Linked DNA regions of Kluyveromyces lactis. The protein of the gene in region 2 interacts with the protein of the main gene of each other region in a pairwise test. Links are inferred from orthologs where the notes say so. Each region holds a gene or a part of one and is shown on either strand. Other genes may lie near its edges.

What was found.
Region 1: the proteins of ACK1 (region 2) and PEF1 interact in a two-hybrid assay, tested with the Saccharomyces cerevisiae proteins (2 studies listed by BioGRID). The link is inferred for Kluyveromyces lactis from reciprocal best matches to the Saccharomyces cerevisiae genes ACK1 and PEF1.

The regions. Positions count from the first base shown.
Region 1 is NC_006038.1:719,626-722,940, forward strand, and holds PEF1 (Pef1p), read right to left. Parts: upstream 1,616-3,315; coding exon 527-1,615; downstream 1-526. Other genes in the region: septin SPR3, read right to left, coding at 1-107; KLLA0_B08173g (40S ribosomal protein eS10), read right to left, coding at 2,629-2,949. UniProt on the Saccharomyces cerevisiae protein: Calcium-binding protein that is required for polar bud growth and cell wall abscission. Can also bind zinc ions.
Region 2 is NC_006039.1:1,307,778-1,311,611, forward strand, and holds ACK1 (Ack1p), read left to right. Parts: upstream 1-1,518; coding exon 1,519-3,033; downstream 3,034-3,834. Other genes in the region: COX20 (Cox20p), read right to left, coding at 276-833; HEM1 (5-aminolevulinate synthase), read left to right, coding at 3,773-3,834.

The DNA.
Region 1 (3,315 bases), on a different chromosome or scaffold from region 2:
TTCGAACCATATTTTGCTGGTCCATAGGAAATGGAATCATATTCAACACCAGTTGCTTCAATATAATGATCCATTGATGAACCCCAGCCATTCTTAGTTGAATTCATTGCTTTACCGTTCGAAGCCTCCTGGTAAACGTCAACAAATGTAACACTTCCACGATAAATCCAGTCACTGGGGGGTCAGTTCCTTGTTTTACTACTCTTATACTATTATAGATTTTTTTCTGTCGCTGGACACAAAAATCAAAAAAGTATTGAAATAGAAAAATTAGTACTTTATGTCACTACAGATATTTCATATGCCAGTGATTTTTTCTTGTTGCTCGAAGTGACTCTGCTCATCGCTCTAGTCTGAGGATGTAGTTTTTTTTTAGCTTCGAACGAGGGAACAAGCTAAGTGTCGCGATCTTCTTCAGCTGGATAATGAAAGTGTAGAATAATTAAAGATTAATAGAATATTTGTTATTCGATAGGAATTACGGTTCCTGGTGAATCTGCTTCACCATATAGTACATTTTTTAGAATTAATGTGGCAAGAATTTGCCTAAGTACAAAGTTAGATCTATGAAATCTTTGTATGCAATGGTTGCAGTCCCTTCTTGTTGCAAGTCATACTTACGGAAAACTTTGGTTAGTCGCATTAACCATACTAACGTTTCAACAAATCTATCAAACTTCATTTCTTTGTTTAGCCTTTGCTGGTCAAAGTATTCCGCATAGCATTCAAACAATTTCTCACTAACTTCAAAAGGAATTAGATATCCCAACGATTGGACAGCTTTATGAAACTCAGCCATCGTTAGCGTAAATGAGCCGTTGATATCGTTATCTACAAAACATTTTCTCCATTTTTTAACTCTCTTGTATAACGAAATGAATTCATTTAAGTTGACAGTACCAAATCTAGAGCCACCAAACAAGTTTATTAGTGATTCAATTGAACTTGTACAAAATTTCGACCCATCATCATTCTGTAACAAATTATGCAGTTCGTCTGCCGTGAGTCTGCCCATGTTTTTCAAGTCATGGTTGTTGAAAAGCTCGGTTGCGATTAAGTTATCTTGTTGTTCTTGTTGGGACTCTTGTGATGCTATAGAACCTGCGCTAGATGCGGCCAGTGGCTGATTTTTGCGATACTGTACTTGAGGTGCCGATGAAGACTGCATAGAGCGTGGTGGTGGAGGGTTTGGGGCCCTTATTGAGATATTTTGTGGTGAAGAATGCGGTACTGTTGCTACTGGATGACCTGCAGTTTGACTTTGATAGTAAACCTGTTGTGGTGGAGCATAAGTTGACATACTGGCGGAACTACCATTATGGGCAGGCATTTGAGCCATCACCCTGGAAGGTGCAGGTGGCTGTTCATAGCTCGGTACCCTTGGTTGAGATCTTTGTAGCCCAGGTCCTGCTCCGTGTTCGTAACCAGACATCATGGTTCTCTGCTGTGGCAGTTGTGATTGTTTTTGATAACTTGAATCCAGTGAGTATGACGAAGGTGCATGGTGAATGGATGGGTTCACAGGTACTGGCTGTTGTTGCAGCTTTGGATTGATACCATATTTCATCTGCCGGCGTCTTCTCTCTACCTCTTCTCTCCTTTTACCCTCTTTCATCGCTTCTTCTGGGGTCGCGTACAACTGTAATTATTAAGTGTTTAGGAATGGAAAGTTAGTGACAATGACATTATTATCGGGGGGGGGGGGGGGGGGGGGATGGGGAGCTCTTACCCTCATTAACCTTATAAGTACTTCAATCGATACATACTGGTAATTCATCTCCTCCGGAGTAATTTATTTTGTTTGGAGCCATGATAGGGTGATAAATCAGAATGCTACTATATTGAACAAAAATTCACAACATTCAGCTTCAAATTAGTATATGACTCGGGTTTTATCACTCTAATTAATGCTAAGATCTATCAGTGCTACTGTTATCCATTCACGAGAAATCAAACGGGATATATTTCATTCTAACAGCTCTTGTTTGCTAAGTGTGTTGTTGAAAGTTTATGTTTGGATTTATTTTTAATTTCCGAGATAACTACTGAATGAAAGAATGTCGAAAACCCTGACGATGAAAATATACAAAACGATCGGCAGCAGAGAGAGGAACCAAAAATAGCTTCTGTACAGGCTTGAAAAAAAACACCAGCTATATGTTGCTTTATGAGACTATAAAAGACAATATACAGTTACGTGAGAGTATGGATTATGTGAAGTTTTTTGGAGCAATGTAACGACACTGCAATAGACCCAAGAAAAATAGTAAAATGACAAAAGGATACTACTCCTCACATTTATAAGTATGTGATTTATAGTAATAATAATATTGGAAAATAAAAATGATATCATGTGCGATAATAACGTGTTAACCCATTTGAATATTGAATAAAGAACCGACAACTATGTTTGAGTAAATTTAAGAAAAAGGAATCCAAGGATATTCATTTCCTCAGGAAATGAATAACAACTGAGGTTCCACATCTTGCTCACTTGTACGACTTTATTGTAAATTAATACGAATCCAAACAGTTGACATTAACAACGTTTTACTGACAGTATGATGAGAAAATACGGGTAAAACACAACTTCCCCATCACACAAAGTCAGGCCATGTCTCAGTCAATTTAGTACTTCTTACCTTGTGGTCTTTGGTCACCAGATTGACCAGCCAAGTAAGTAGCTGGGAAGATGTGTTCTGGCAAGTTCAAGTACTCTCTCAAGTAAACTACACCTTCTTCAGTCAAGGTGTAGTAGTAGTATTGCCATGAGAATTGAGTCTTGACAAAACCCTTGGAAGTCAAAGATTGCAAAGCCTTGATGACAAACAAGTTCTTGGTGTCAATTTCTTCATGCTTTGGTTGGTTGAAGTCCTTCTTGGCAACCAAGACACCTTCTTGGAACAAGTGTTGGTAGATCTTCTTTCTGTCTTCCTTTGGAATTAACATTTTGTTCTGCTGTTGCTTACTTGATTGAACTTACTTTTCTCTGAAACAGGTTACAAAACACATAACATAAATTATAAAACAATAAGTAAGAACTAAATTGTACAAATGCTAATACCAATTATAAAACTAACTGTCAATAACCAAATGTAAGTTGTAATTCCTCTATAATTCATTGAAACTTTTCAAACATCGACAAAATCAAAAAAAAAAAAAAAAAAAATTGAACTGATCGTTAACGTAACTAAGTCTGTAGCTTGCAGTACATTATGGATTTCAGATTGTTAGACAGTTAGCAGTGAATCGATGAGGTACTTTCCCATCTCTACGGCTATTTGTAAGTGAGTGATTCCTAACGTCAGCTTGTAC
Region 2 (3,834 bases):
TTTCACCACTTGATTTGTCAATACGAAGACAATCTGCGGTCAGAACGAGTCAGCTCTTTAGCGGTAAATTGGAATGTCTGCAGGGGTATGTGCAGTGGTGTATGCAGTGGTATTATAAACGGTATATGTCATTAAATGATGTCCTGTACTATTGTGCCAGGAATCAAGAATTATTCATTCTCACTCTACATGCCTAAAATATTGCCTACGACGTCTTATGTTGGGTAAAAAAGATACGAGGTCACGTGGTGGTAAGTCAATATCATGTCTTGCACCTACCAAAATTTGTACCAAGGTTTACTGTTTCTAGAGCCCTCTTCCCATTCCTTCTTGACTGTATCTATATTCTTAACCTGTTTCAGCATTGGTTTCTCCTTTGCTGCAACAGTCTGTTTGGCCATTGCTGCCACTTGGAAGCTTCGTCTACGACGCATGCGACATTGCTCCCATCCTACAATGGATCCAAGTATGAAACCTCCTACACCCCAATTTGCCGCACGAGCAGGATTCTTATGGTACAAGAACATCACTGATCCGACAACAAACATCGATGTAAACCCTCCGATCCCTGCGTCTCTGAAACATGGAATTGACAGTACCTTTTCGACACTGAAATCTTTCACGTCTATCGTATTCCATGCCTCTTTCAAAGACGCACGTTCCTGCTCTCGAGCAGCCATACTACTGGACTCATTATTGAATTTGGGTTTTGTATCCTCAAATAGAAACTTCTGTCCTTTAGCATAATTCGTTAATTGCTGTTCCTCTGATATACTCCTTTCCACCTCGGTACTTGCTTCTTGCGTTTTACTCTTAGAAAATGGCCACACCATGTTTGCGCTCTGAATATTAAAATATCAATTCAACGGGAGTTTATATTACTTGACAGCTACCTAGGTTAGCTTAATGAAGATCTCAATTGCTGCTTACTTGTCAACGCTTTTAGCATCATCTCATCTTATAATCTTAGTTTGTCAATCAGTTTTCCTACAGACACAACTTTTTCCAAACCGAAAAATAATTGAAAAATATGGAATATTTGGGAAGCGTCAGTATTTAATCATAAAATCAGAAGGTACTTGGAAATTCTTGACCTAAGTGACTTTTTAAACAGTGAAACTATAGCAAGTCTCTGGAAATGCATTCCTAGTTTGTCTTGAACATATTAAACTGACACAATATGTACATTTATTTATCCGTTCTATATTTAAAAGTCGCTTTCTGCGATTCATATGTACTGTCGCAGTAGAAATGAAAAAAAGGCGACAGAATCCGATACTCTGAAAATCAGTAAAATAATGGTAAATTGAATTAATCTGAAACGATGAGTTGCAACAAAAATACAGTGGCCGTTAAGCATTTCAACTAGGCTTCTGGAAACACTGCCCTCTGGTATCAGCTTGAGTCTGTGGGTAAGTGAGTTGCTCTGCAAGTAGTATTGGATTCGAAAGCGTTTGCACGGAAGAAATTCGTAGAAAGGATAGGACATTGGTAAATCGTTCTCTTGAGAGAAATAGAATGGATAACAACCGACAAAGAAACGCGTATGGCAACTACATAAACATGTACCCGCCAGGTCACGAGCCAAGTAAGAATACACCATATCCGGTTGATGATCTGCCCCAGAATCATGTTGCAGATACGAATATTCCATACCAAATGTATGAGAAAGATACAAGACAAAGCTCCCAGTCAACGGTAACGACGCCAGTATCACGACAACCACCACCGGCGCAGCAAGTCAGCATACCCAAAGTGGATAACCCGCCTAGCAGTGCTAAGAGTGAACGGGATCTTTCAAATTACTCTTCCGAGGCTGTCGCGTTTTATGAAGCATATGACAGAACCGTCAAGGACGCAAACAAGTTTACGAAGGATATCCAGTTGAAATGGTGCGAGACACTGTTGCAATATGCGTTCAAGCCCACTTTCTTAATCAGATACAATATCAATGCTGAAAAGTTGAAACGGGATTTAACTGAGACCGAAATGCTACAGAATAAAAGGACCATTTTAGAGCATGCGTTACGCGTGTTAACGAAACTAACTCAGTTAAACTATTCACCAGCGATCTACCTATTAGGGACACTTTATTCCCACCACCCTTACGTAGATATTCCAAGGCCCATGGATATCGTGTCTAAGAATGATGCAAAAGCTCTAGACTACTATCGCAGAGCAGCCGATATGGGTCATAAGGATGCCATGTATCGGACCAGTGTCAGCTACGAGTACGGACGTGGAGTAGATTACACAACTGTGAGTGAATACGAAGCTTTAAAGATTTCACAGAAGTACTATGAAATGGCAGCTTTGACCAATGGACATTCTGTATCCATGTACAAGCTCGGGATGTTCTATTTGAAAGGACTGAGAACGAAATCTGGTGAAATCGTTATCAAAAGAGACCCTGTACAAGCTTTATACTGGTTTAGAATGGCTACCAAGGAGATCGAAATCCCACGAGACGATAAGGCTCATGTAGAACTGGAATCAGTATCGCCACAAGCGATGGTTGAGTTGGGTAAGATTTACGGATTTGAAGAGTTAGACGAATCCGTTAGACAAGAGCTTCTGAGAAACGGAATCACTCAAGATAAGGAAAAATCGATCAAATACTATTATAGATGCGCCCATGACTTCGATTATTCTCAAGCCCAATACAAATTGGGTCATTTTTATGAATTTGGGGAGATGGGACTACCTGTAATACCCAAGAAGTCCATTGCATGGTACGCAAAGAGTTCCATGAACAAGACCAAACCAAACCCGTTAGCCATGGTAGCACTTAGTGGCTGGTACCTTACCGGTGCTGAGGGGATATTGAAACCGAACGACGTAGAGGCCTTCAAGTGGGTGTCACGTGCTTCGAAATTATCTGACGGGAAATTACCAAGAGCAGAGTATGCATTAGCATTTTACTTGGAGAAAGGCCTTGGATGTCAGCCAAACATACAAGAGGCCAAGGTACACCACGAAACTGCTGCTCGTCTTGGCCATCCGAAAGCCATCGAGGCCTTGAGGAAAATGTGACCTTGCGGTTTTATTTTTACTGTCCTGCGTAGCTAGCTTCATTGTAATGATATGTAATAATAAGATTTGGTTAGAGTAGTTAGTTATTGGTATTCTCTAGAAGTTAAATTTCTGGCGGTGGTTGGTGTCGCGAAGCGACACCAACATAGCTTAAACTCGGACTTGCTCCCGCTAAGCGAACCATGCTCATCCAGGCCAATCCCCAGCTTCAACTGCCAGGTCCAGGGCCAGGGCCAGCATTACTGCCACAGCTCTTCGCTTCGCTCACATCATCCTCTACTCTTATTGGCTGAAAACCTCCAAAAAGAAAAGCTCCTAAGTCCAGCATTTCTTTTTTTCCCTTTTCCCTTCCCTGTCTTCCTACAATATCTTCTGCGGAACTGGCAATGTCGGAATCATTTCAAAGGTAAAATCCTCTCATATTGCCTGAAAATGAAAATGACTGAGGAAAAAATGACTGAAAACTCAAAAAAAGATATAATATGATATGTTTTCATAATTATATAATAAGAGATGAGCTTCAGGTTTAACTTAAGATACACCTTTGGTTTTGGTTCAGTGCTTCTCTAATCTAGAGTAAAATATTCTTTGATACACCAGGTTTCACTTTCGTCACTGAAGAGAAAAATTTAAAAAGATTCTACCTGTTAGAAGTGGCTATATCTTTGCGAGTGAGAAAGCTTCTTTTATTGGTTTCCCTTGCACACACTTAACCGTCTTCATTTTGGATTGAAAAAACATGGAATCTGTTATTCGTTCTTCTGCCAAGATCTGTCCATTTATGCACTCTGCCACTGGATC